2 linked regions of the Saccharomyces cerevisiae S288C genome follow. The protein of the gene in region 1 interacts with the protein of each later gene in a pairwise test. Each region holds a gene or a part of one and is shown on either strand. Other genes may lie near its edges. The genes, in order: NAM2 and BI4.

Region 1 (5,492 bases):
AATTGTCCTCAATTCAGACTCACGTTCATGTTGGATGTCTCTTTCCTCATTCTTCACATCTTGCAAACTTACAACTAAAGAATTGTTTACCTCTCTCAATTTTTCATTAGCTTTTTCTAACTGTTCAAGCTCCTGTCTCATCTGATCTTTATCACCGCCCATTTCCTTCGTGAGTTCTTCTTCTAAATGCGCAATTGTTTTATTCAAAGCATCTACTTTTTTTCTACCTTGATCGATATTGCTTTGTGCTTCTGCTTGGTTGCTTTTCTCCTTTTCAAACCTGCTTTTGACATCTCTTAACAGTTCCCTTGCATTTTGATGCTCACTATCTTTTTCATTAACATAAATGACCTTTGCATCAATTTGCGCTTCAATAGTAGTACCATCAGATGTATATCTTTCAATCTTTTCTTGCCTATTCCTAATTTTCTCAGTAACTTCATCAACTTTCTGTTGAATGCCACTGATTTCATTCTCTAAATTTTTACAAGCATCTGTATTATGGGCAACATCGATCCATAACGATTTCGCTTGCAAAAGCATTTTCCTTTCGTTCAAGTCTGAAGTCTGATTTAATTCCCTTAACAGTTTTTTGGCATCTTCGTATTCAGCTTTCAAAGACTTCAAATTCTCCAGGTGCAGAGCCATATTTTCTTGTGCACTATCGTGAATAGCACTGGCGTAAAGCAAATTCTCGGTAATTTCTTGAAGTAAAGTACCCTTCATAAAATGGCTATACTTATCCTGTGAGGTACTAGCAGTTAAGAAAGACCTAGCAGCGTCTTGTGACAGGAAACACATGGGGTTGCTTACAGGAACAGAAAAATAGTCCACTACCGTCTGAATATCCTTTTTCTTATTGCTAATTTCCTTGCCGTTTTCCGACCTTAAACTAAAAGAAGCGGGCCCATCTCTCTTAATTATCCTTTCTACTATAATTTCGTTACCAAAAATACCTTGCTGATAAGCACCATACTTGCTATTATCCAGATGAAGGATGATTTTAGCAGAATAACAACCTTCACGAATCAAATCCTTCAAAGAGGAACCTCTGTTAGTCTCGCTAGCCTTGGCTCCCAAACCAATAGTAATGGCGGTCAAAATTGCACTTTTACCACTACCATTATTACCAACAATAAAATTCAGCCTAGAACCAAGCTCAAGTTCAAAATGTTCATGGCACATAAAGTTTCGCAAGATCACTTTCTTAATATATCCTGAAGGTGACTCTTCCAAAAAGTTATCTTGATCCGCCGTGGCCACGTCAGAGGAGCTCCTAAACCCGCTGTCTTCATCTAGTGTATTGCTGTTAAACTGTGTCATGGGGGCAAATTGATGACGTCTGCGTTTTCTCTGCTGCTGCTGCTCTTCGTTTTCCTGCTGCGCAGTCAGTGAAAGTAGCTCATCATCAACCTGCTCTATAGGTCTTTTACCACTAATCGTAGTCGAAATCATACCATTTAGCAATCTAACAAGAATATGCTCTTTATTATTATTAACAGCAGCTACTTATCTCTTGCGAACCTATATGCCTCTTGTCTTTTTTTCTTATTATGAACTTCACTACATGAAATATAAATATTCATGTTGATAGATCCAAACATTGAAATTTAGTATACGCGACGCGTTTTTGGCAAGTTTAACTTAGAATTTTCACTATAAAACAGAAATTTTGATAAAACTTGGATGAAAATGTTCCTTTTGCCTAACTATCAAATACCACAGAAAAATCTTTAATACCATGCCATACTACTCCTGGTCTGTTCATGAACTTGCTTGACATTTCCCTACCTCTGACACACTTTTTGATCCAAGAATCTCATTTCTTATCTCCGCGAAGAATCAAAGAAACCGAAGAAAGTCGTTTTGTTGCTCCGGTGGAGAATCAAGAACTTGGAGGAAGGAGCACAGCAGAGTGTTAAACAAGGCGCTAGTACTCTATATTGTAGAGTCTGTACGTGAATAAATCGACGTGTGTGTACGGTGGAAAAATGCTGTCTCGACCTTCAAGCCGATTCCTATCCACTAAAAGGGGCCCTGGACCTGCAGTGAAAAAATTAATTGCAATTGGGGAGAAATGGAAACAGAAGACAACCCGTGGCTTGCCTAAGCAGGATACTCTGAATAGCGGGTCGAAATATATTCTGTGCCAGTTTCCATATCCTTCTGGGGCGCTTCACATAGGACATCTCCGAGTTTATGTCATTAGCGACTCTTTGAATAGATTTTACAAACAAAAAGGGTACAACGTGATACATCCGATGGGATGGGATGCTTTTGGGTTACCTGCCGAGAACGCTGCTATAGAAAGAAGCATTAATCCGGCCATATGGACTAGGGACAATATTGCAAAAATGAAACAACAAATGCAAAGTATGCTGGCAAATTTTGATTGGGACAGAGAAATAACTACATGTGATCCCGAATACTATAAATTCACCCAATGGATTTTCTTAAAACTTTTTGAAAATGGCTTAGCTTATCGTAAAGAAGCAGAAATTAATTGGGATCCCGTTGATATGACAGTTTTGGCTAATGAACAAGTGGATGCCCAGGGCCGTTCTTGGAGATCAGGGGCTATTGTGGAAAAGAAGCAGCTAAAACAGTGGTTTTTGGGAATAACGAAATTCGCTCCTAAATTGAAAAAGCACTTGAACCAACTGAAGGACTGGCCTTCCAACGTGAAGCAAATGCAAAAAAATTGGATAGGCGAATCTGTGGGTGCAGAATTAGTGTTCAAAGTTGCGGACCCCAAATTTGAAAACTTGATTGTCTTTACAACAAGACCGGAAACTCTTTTTGCTGTACAGTATGTTGCTCTCGCATTAGACCACCCAATTGTACAAAAATACTGCGAGGAAATGCCGGATTTAAAAGAGTTTATACAGAAAAGTGATCAATTACCAAACGATACGAAGGAAGGATTTCAGTTACCTAACATAAAGGCCGTAAATCCCTTAACTAAAGAGGAAGTCCCCATATTTGCAGCTCCATATGTGGTCAGCAGCTATGGTTCAGCACCTAGTGCAGTAATGGGTTGTCCAGGACACGATAACCGAGATTTTGAGTTTTGGCAAACAAATTGTCCTGGTGAACATATCAAGACGTGCATAGCACCTTTTTTTGACGATGCTTCAAAAGTAACTGAACAGGAAAGACAAAGAATAATTGATACTGTCCCGTTCACATCTACTGACGGTGTCCTAACCAAAGAATGCGGAGAACACTCAGGAGTTCTCACTGTAGTGGCAAGGAAATCGATAATGGGGATGTTGAATAGCGAAGGACTGTCTAAGAGCGTCGTTAGATACAAAATTAGAGATTGGCTGATAAGTAGACAAAGATACTGGGGTACTCCAATACCCATCATTCACTGCGACAACTGTGGACCTGTCCCCGTTCCAGAAAGTGATCTACCTGTCAAGCTACCAGAACTTGAAGGCTTGGATACAAAAGGGAATCCGCTGTCCACAATCGATGAATTTGTAAATGTCGCCTGTCCTTCATGCGGGAGCCCTGCGAAAAGAGAAACTGACACCATGGATACTTTTATCGATAGTTCTTGGTATTATTTCAGATTCTTGGATCCCAAAAACACTTCAAAACCATTTGATCGTGAAATTGCAAGTAAAAATATGCCGGTTGATATTTATATTGGTGGAGTAGAACATGCTATCTTACACTTGTTATACTCAAGGTTTATTGCTAAATTTCTCGGATCTATCAATGCATGGAGCGACCCTGCTGGCATCTTCGAACCATTCAAAAAACTGGTGACACAAGGAATGGTTCAAGGGAAAACCTATGTTGACCCCGATTCTGGTAAATTTTTGAAGCCTGACGAGTTAACCTTTGTAAATGACTCTCCAGATGGCAACACAGTGATTATTAAATCAAATGGCAAGGTTCCGGTAGTCTCTTATGAAAAAATGTCGAAATCTAAATACAATGGTGCAGATCCAAATGAATGTATTTTAAGACATGGACCTGATGCTACGAGAGCACATATCCTCTTCCAAAGTCCAATTGCAGATGCCCTGAATTGGGATGAATCCAAGATTGTTGGTATAGAACGTTGGTTGCAGAAGGTTCTTCATTTGACCAAAAATATTCTCAGTCTCGAGAAGGATTTGGCAATAAGTAAAGACTACAAGACCCCGACCGACTTAAATGATGCAGAAGTGAAATTTCACAACGATTTCCAACGCTTCTTGAAATCAATTACGGAATCATTTGAAGTTAATCTATCGTTAAACACTGTAATATCTGATTATATGAAGCTAACCAATATTTTAGAAAGTGCATTGAAAAAAGGTGAAGTAAGGAATGAAATGATAGTACAGAATTTACAAAAGTTGGTAACCGTTATATATCCTGCTGTCCCGTCAATTTCAGAAGAAGCTGCAGAGATGATCAACTCCCAAATGGAATGGAACCAATACCGCTGGCCAGAAGTTGAGCGCACTACTGAGTCCAAATTCAAAAAGTTTCAAATTGTGGTAAATGGCAGAGTCAAATTCATGTACACGGCTGACAAAAACTTTTTGAAATTAGGTAGGGATGCTGTTATTGAAACTTTGATGAACTTACCGGAAGGGAGAATGTATTTGATGAATAAAAAAATCAAAAAATTTGTCATGAAATTCAATGTGATTAGTTTCTTATTCCACAAGTAATCATATGACGCCATGAATTTACCACTAGTGCTTGTAAATAGTTAAATATTAATGCCTTATAGATATAAATTGTCCAATCTCCTTTTTGGAAGTTATAATATATATATATATATATATATGTATATAAATGTGGATGCATATTCTAAGAATTTTGAACGCTATACTTTGAGAGACTCTTCAAATATGTAAACAAGAATGCTGCAATGTCTCTATATGGATTAGCAGTGTTACTCAAATGCATTAAAATCTTTACTCTCAAGTCGTGAATGTTATTAACGCCCTTTATCCAACCATGCTGGCCAATCTCATCATGATGAACTCGAAAGAAATTGTTAAACGTCTCTTCATTTATGATCCCACTGGTGAATTTTATTTTGGTATTTTCGGCCGTTTCCAGTCGTCTTAGAATAATAATACATATGTAGGATAGCGCTGGTATACCAGTTATCGTGAAAAATTTAGCGTTCTTGAAGTCTGCAGTTGGGATATAAAGATTCTCCAAAATCTGCTTAAAGAAATCTGGTGAGACTCCAAACAAACTTTTGGATGACAGAACTTTATTCCTGTAAAGATAATTTGTCAAATCCATGATATATTGGTTCTGCATCCGAACGAATTTGTTTGTTGACGGGTATTGCATCAATTTATTTTTCGTAGCAACCAAGTACCTGCACGCAGCTGATAATAGCAAAGGATCGTCCGAACTGAACACTTTATTCATGATGTCAGGGCCCACAATCAAATATTGGATCGCATAATCCGACTTCGTTTGTTTCGACAGTTGAGTTAAAATATCTAACGAGCTGATGAAAGCCA
Region 2 (8,013 bases), on another chromosome or scaffold:
TATTAATATTTTTAATATCAATAGATGCTGGTGTTACTAAAGGATTACCAGGAATATAGTTATCAGGATGCTTTTATAATAAATATAAAATGGACTATATCTTCATAAAAATTTATATTACACTATCTTATTTCATAAACTATTATTATTTCTTCAATCATGTTTAATGATCAGAATTTTATTTAATAAGATTGTAAAAATATAATCTACCGATTCATAATAATTTATATTATCTTTAACAATAATTTACAAAGATGTTATATTATTATAAGGAATCTTTAAATATTTTATAAATTAGATAATATAATAATGAATACGGAGAAAATTTAATTATTATTTCATTTTTCATTAAATTTTAATCAAGCTTTATATAAAGCAGTATTATGAGGTGCTTTAAAAGCTAATAAATCATATAAATAATAAAATTTATCAATTAAAAATAAACGTTTACCTTTATTAGATTTAGAAGGACAACTTTTATTATAAAGATAAAAAATATTATGTAATTCTTTATTATTAATAGATCATTTAAAATAACCATTTTTAGCTTTATCAAAATAAATATTACCACCAAATACTTCTCTATAGTATTCAACATCATGTAAATATTTATTTGTAACGCTAATAGTTAATTGAGGTCTAATTTTTAATTTACCGGAATAATAATAATTAATAGTACCATCAGCATCAAAGAACCCTATAAATCAAGCATTATCTTTAGTTAATTTAATAGGTTCTTTAAAATCGATATTTAATAAAATACATACTTTATTAAATTGTACTAATCTTTTACTATTACGAATATTACCATTAACGGCATTAATTAATTTAATTATACCTTCTTTATTTTGTAATCTATATCTAATAGCCTTAACACCTGATCTTAATTTTACAGAACCACCAAATTTATCTTGGATTTGTCTTAACATTTTTTCATCTTTTAATTCTACAAGAATTTCACAAGATGCATATTTATTTTTAGTAATACAAAAATAACCATCTCCGTCAATTAAACCGGCCAATCATTGGTTAAATCTAATATTACTATCTTTATAAATACTATAATGTCTTTTAAGAATAATTTGATTTATTTTTTTTATATTAAAAATATTTAATAAATAATTAAATTTATTTTTTAGTGTGCGTGTAGTCTCTGAAGTATCTACTAATAAATTCTTTTTATTACTCGTTAAGTGAGTATTAGAAGAATTTATATTGGTTACCTGCTGATTATCTTCTTTATAATAATATTTTACTCTATTGGGATTAAATAAATCACTTACAATATTTATTTTATTATATTGCTTTGTTCAATTAAATTTTAATACGAAATTATTTAATTGTTTTGTATTTAAAATATTTTGAATAATAAAATAATATAGAGTTTTATTATAAATTTTTCATTGATATTTAATAAATAAAGATTTCCAGCATACAGCACATAAAATATTAATTACATATGTAATTAATAATAAGGCCATATTTTGACCTAAAGTATTAGGTGAATAGAATACAAATAATGCTAAAATTAACATAAATAAGAAAACAGTTACTAAATCTTTAAAAATAAAGTATGAATGCATTGGAATTCTATCTAAATTACCTGTAATACCTAATGGATTAGATGAACCATGAATATGTAATGCCATTAAATGCATAATAACCATTGCAGCAATGATAAAAGGTACTAAATAATGTAACGCAAAGAATCTCTGGATTAGAGGGTTAGATACTGAGCTTTTAATGTTTAAATAGTTACATATTTGAAAACTATTATCAATATATCACTATATTGTTCGGACTATATCTTAATCCTATTTATGTATATATATAATTATATATAAATATTTATAAATGATTATATATTAATCATAATATTTATTTATAAAAAAAAAAGATAAATATTACTTCTAAAGTTTTTATTTCTTATTTATTAATCATAAATTATAATTAATAAAATTATACTTTTTAATTTATAGTTTCGATATCCTAAAATAGAAATAAAAATACCATAAAATGATAAGATTTTAATTATTAATAAAAATTAATAATGAAGGAGAAAATAAATATAATAAAATAATAAATAGTTCAAAGGAATTATTTATTGATAATAATATATTTAATATATAATTAAACTCCTTCGGGGTTCGGTCCCCCTCCCGTTAGAATAGGGAGGGGTCCCTCACTCCTCCGGGGTCCGCCCCGCGGGGCGGGCCGGACTATATTTATAATAAATAATTATATATAAATTATATTTTGTTTATATAATTATATAATATATAAATATATTATTATTATATTTTTATATAAGATTAATATTTAGGAGGAATTTTAAAATAATTATTATATTTAAGAATAAGACGTAAATCTTTTAAGAATAATAAATATTGTAATTTTTTATAACCTAATAATTTAATAGGGTTATTATTAATAAATATTACAACATTTTTAATACCATTAATACTTTTAAGTGTTATTCTTGAATTATTAAATTTATCTGTATAAATATTTTGAGTAATTTTTAAATATGATTTAATAGCTAATATAACTTCTATACTATTATTTTGAGATACTTCAAAACTAGCAAGTTTTATTTTTTTATTTATAGGTTTATAAATACTAAAACAACTTTCAGCTTCAAAAAAACCAATTAATCATGAAGAAAAATAATTTTTATTTAAAATATCTTCAAGAGTATTAAATGGTTTAATAGGACGTAAATAATAAGATAAATCATTATAATATTTAATATCTTTTAATAAATTATCTTTAAAATATAAATAATCATAATGTTTATTAGTTAATATAGGATATTTATCAAAAATAGGAATAATAATATTCTTTAAATGATTTTTATTTCTTACATTAAATTTACATATTTCTTTAATAGTACCATCTTTTATTTTTAATTTTTTAATTGTTACTTTACCAATACCTAAAATATTTTTAATTTTATATAATAATTGAATATCTCTAATATGTATTTCAATACCTAATTCATATAATAAATATTTACCTTTTTTTGAAATAGTAATTCAACCATCTCCTTCAAATAAACCACCAATATATGCATAAATAGGATTATCTGTGTTTAATTTATGATTTTTATCATAAATAATAGTATTATTTATATAATAACTATAAAGTCTCTGAATAATTAATTTTATATATATATATATATTAATTACTGCTAATTTTCTTCTTATAATAAATATTTTAACTATATTATTTTTATTTCAAATTATATTATTATAAATAATTAATTGAATAATATAGTAATTTATTATTCAAATGAAGATATTTCAGCATAAAACAGATTTATTTAATATTATATTACTATAATATGGATCCTCTATATTAAACCCACCTCATAATCAAGATACAATATCGTTACCTACAAATGGAATTGCTGAGAATAAATTAGTAATAACTAGTGCCAAGAAAATAATATTATTTATAAATTATTATTATTTTTTAATAATAATAATCTCAATATTTATTGATTTATTAATATAAATAATACCCTGTATTTAATAATATCTACCCTTTTTATAATTCCATTTAATCACTATTTTCTCTTATGAATAAATATTTATACCTAATAATACCATAATATAAATATTATATATAAATGTTATATATAAATGTTATATATAAATGTTATGATGGGGTTATTATTATAAAAATATTAATCATAATAATTATAATTCATTATTTATATATTAATTAGGTAAATGGAATAATAACAGTAGTTATATATATAATATATATATATAGATTATTAAACCTTGTGTTATAATAATAATATTATAAATTTTCTTCGAATAAACATTAAATATTATTATTTTTTTTATAATAATACCTATTATTGGTGTATTCTGTTGGGATCATATAATTATATAACCCACTGTCTTGTTACTTAATAATATAATTTTGACATGTTTTCAATAATATCGCATTATAATAATATAATAATTAATATAATACTATATATTTTATTATAAATAATTACCTAATTTATATTTTATACTAGGAATAATATAAGGAGATACAATTTTAGTTAAAATAGGTATAGATTCTTTTCATACATAAATAACAAATTGTGTATTTTCTTTATTGCCTTTAAGAATAGTAGATTTAATATTATATTTATTATGTAATAAATAAAGTAAATATTGAACATCTTTATAACTAAAACAATTAGTTGTGAATTTTAAACCTTTACCTAATTTACATCCATCATCTATAATTCAAATAGCTAAAGCTAAAGGAGTTAAATAATTGTCTAAAGATTTAGGAATAACTTTAATATTACCTTTTCCAGATATATTTTTAATATACCATTCTGAATAAATCATATTAAATGAATCATAAGTTCATGTATTAAATTTTAAATATTGTCTAATTTTACCTTTTTTACCTAATCTAGTTTTAATTAAAGGTAAATTAGTATTACAATAACCTAAATTAGCTAATAAACTATGTAAATAATATAAATAATTAATATTACAATATTCTTGTTGAAATACAATTCTTGTTCCTTTACCACCTTTTCTTTTTTCAGCATGACCATCTCCTAATATTGAACCATAAATAATTGATAAAATGTTTATATTTAATGGACCAATATTATTATTTATATCTTTCTTATTTGTTATATTTAAATTAATTATATATTTATTTTTATTAATATAATCTATACTCTTAATTAATATAAGATATTCTTTAGTTTTTATTATTTGTCTTATTATAATCGTATAAAAAATATAAATTAATAATATTAACATTATTATATAAATTAGTTTTATTATATTAAATATATTTGAGGCGATATTTATATTACCTCAATGTGACAATTGTGATAGGTAGATCTTTACAAATTTTCCCCCACTCAGAACTGTACGTACTACTTTCATAGTATACAGCTCAAACAATTTATATACTATATAAATCATCCTATATTGAAGTTAGCATGCTTTCACATTAATCATTTATTCGTTATTATTATTAATTAATTAATTAATTAATTAATAATAATATTAACCATTATTAATATATTTTTATTAAAATATATAAATAATTTGATCTATATTATACATTACATATAATCTTTAGCTTTTTCAATAGTCTTTTACCCACTTATCTATATTATAATTTCTATTATTATTTATTTAATAATATTATATATAACTACCATATAATATTTATATTAATATTATATGGAAATAATTGGGCTTACCAAGTTTATATTATTATACTTTCAATAATTCACTTAGGATTCTAATTTTATACCGATGAGTATTAACGTATATATATGTATTCTAGACAGAATTGAATATCTTACTTCTCATATAATTATTTTTATTTATTATTATTTATTAATTAATAATAGAAAAAAATATTGTTTATGTTACGATATTTTATAATATTAGATTGACTTACGCTATCCATATGAATCTTACCTTAATAATTAATAATAATTATTATTATTAGAGTTTCATACAAAATTATTACTAATAATGCATGTCTAATTAGGTATATGTTATATATAAACATAATCATTTCATTAAAATAATTTATTTAATGGTATGATATTATAATAATATACTTATACTTGTCTCACTCTGTCCATAAACACAACAATAACCTAAAAAAGCTGTAGCAATAGTTAAAATGAAAATAATAACACCTACATTTCATAATAGTACTCTTGGTGATCTATATGAACCATAATATAAACCTTTAGCCATATGCATAAACATTACCATAAAAAAGAATGATGCACCATTTGCATGTAAATATCTTAAAATATAACCATTATGCACATCTCTTATAATATGTTCAACAGATGAAAAAGCTAATTCAATATTAGATGAATAATGCATAGCCATAAAAATACCTGTTACAATTTGAATAACTAAACATAAACCTAATAATGAACCCATATTTCATCAATAATTAATTGATGATGGTTGTGGTGAATCAATAATATAACTATTCACTAAACTTAAATACACATTTGATTTTCTAAATGCCATATTATTATTATTTATTTATAAAATATTAATAATATTATTTATTACTAATATTTTATATATATTAATTAATAAAAAATATATAAATATATATTATTAATTAATACTTATTATATATATATATATTTATAATTATATATATAATTATATTATAATATTAAAAACTATTTTTTTATTATATATACATATTTTATTATATATAAATTATAATTATTAAAAAAAAAAGATATTTCTCATTTTTTTTTCATTAATATAATCCATTAAAAAAAAAAGTTAATAGATTTTATTAATATTATTATTATTATTTATTAAATATAAACCTCGCGGGCGCCAATCCGGTCAACTACTGGGTTGGTCATTGGTCCCGTGGATAATATTAATTATATTATATCATTATTAATTTTTTTAATAAAAAGTTAATAATATAATATAATATTTAAAAATATTTATTTAATAATAAATAAATAAATAAATAAATAAATAAATAAATAAATAAATAATATTGACGATTATATTAATATTAATGATATCATTATTATTTAATAATAATTAATATTATGAAAGATTTTTATATTAATATTATATAAATATAATATTAATAATTTTTATATTATTTATTAATATTGTTATTATTATTATTATATTAACAATAATTTATTGTTAATATGTTATTTATATTATTATTAATTTATATTCTCCTTTCGGGGTTCCGGCTCCCGTGACCGGGCCCCGGAACTATAAAAAAAAATAAAATAAATTATATTATTATATATTATATTAAAAAAAAAAATTAAATATATAATAATTATAGAATTAATTAATAACAATTATTATTATTATTATTATACATAAATATTATTTATATAATTTATTATAATATTTATTTAAAAATATTATAATGAAAAATATATTATATATTTTATTATAGTATAATAACAATCGGTATTTATTATTATGAATATATTATTTGTATTAAAAAAAAATATATATATATATATAATTGTATTATATAAAATGTATATTATTAATAATTATTAATTAATATAAAGAATATGTTTAATTATATATACTTTTTTTACAAATATTTATTATTATGAATAACCTTAATCGGAATCGAACCGATATTATCAACATGAAGAGGTGATGTCGTAACCATTAGACGATAAGGTCTATATTTATTAATAATATATATATATATAATTATTATTATTATTAATAAATTATAAAAATAAAATTATTATTATTATTATTAAGTTTATTATTACTATTTATTAACCTAATTAAAATTAAATTAAATAAAATAAAATAAAATAAAATAAAATAAAATAAAATAAAATAAAATAAAATAAAATAAAACTTCTTCTTTAAATAAAAAAGGGGTTCGGTTCCCACGGGGTCCCGCACTCCTTCTTAAATAGGGGTTCGGTCCCCCAAAGGGATCTATCACTCCTTCCTAAAAATAATTAAATATTTTTAATATATATATATATATACATATATATATTAATTTTATTAATTCATTTAAAATTTATATTTATTAATATAATTTATATATTTATCTTATTCCTCCTTTCGGGGTTCCGGCTCCCGTGGCCGGGCCCCGGAACTATTAATATATAAATTGAATTATAATTATTTTATATTATTTTTATATATTACTTATATAATATTTCTTATAATTATATTAAGATTATATATATAAATAGGTTATTATATATTATTATATATATATACTTATTAATTAAATATATTTATATTTTATATTAATGAAGTAAATATTTTATTTAATATATATATATATATATAAATTTATTTATTATAAATTATATTCTTTTTATATTTATATTTATTATTAATTAATTAATTAATTAATTAATTAATTAATTAATTAATTAAATTATTATAATTGTTATTATAAATTATAATTATTATTATTATTTTATTTTTAATAAAATTATTATAATATTAAAAAAGGGAG

What was found.
Region 2: the proteins of NAM2 (region 1) and BI4 interact in a two-hybrid assay, tested with the Saccharomyces cerevisiae proteins (3 studies listed by BioGRID).

What each region holds. Positions count from the first base shown.
Region 1 is NC_001144.5:881,251-886,742, reverse strand, and holds NAM2 (leucine--tRNA ligase NAM2), read left to right. Parts: upstream 1-1,991; coding exon 1,992-4,676; downstream 4,677-5,492. Other genes in the region: DNA repair protein SMC6, read right to left, coding at 1-1,455; CTF3 (Ctf3p), read right to left, coding at 4,819-5,492. UniProt on the Saccharomyces cerevisiae protein: Catalyzes the attachment of leucine to tRNA(Leu) in the mitochondrion.
Region 2 is NC_001224.1:34,565-42,577, reverse strand, and holds BI4 (intron-encoded RNA maturase bI4), read right to left. Parts: upstream 6,039-8,013; coding exon 5,624-6,038; intron 4,856-5,623; coding exon 4,842-4,855; coding exon of another isoform or gene 3,999-4,841; intron 3,438-3,998; coding exon 3,361-3,437; coding exon of another isoform or gene 2,313-3,360; intron 1,738-2,312; coding exon 327-1,737; downstream 1-326. Other genes in the region: COB (cytochrome b), read right to left, coding at 20-70, 1,488-1,737, 3,361-3,437, 4,842-4,855, 5,624-6,038; cytochrome b mRNA maturase bI2, read right to left, coding at 3,999-4,855, 5,624-6,038; cytochrome b mRNA maturase bI3, read right to left, coding at 2,313-3,437, 4,842-4,855, 5,624-6,038. UniProt on the Saccharomyces cerevisiae protein: Mitochondrial mRNA maturase required for splicing of intron 4 of the cytochrome b (COB) gene, containing its own coding sequence, and intron 4 in COX1, coding for the related homing endonuclease aI4.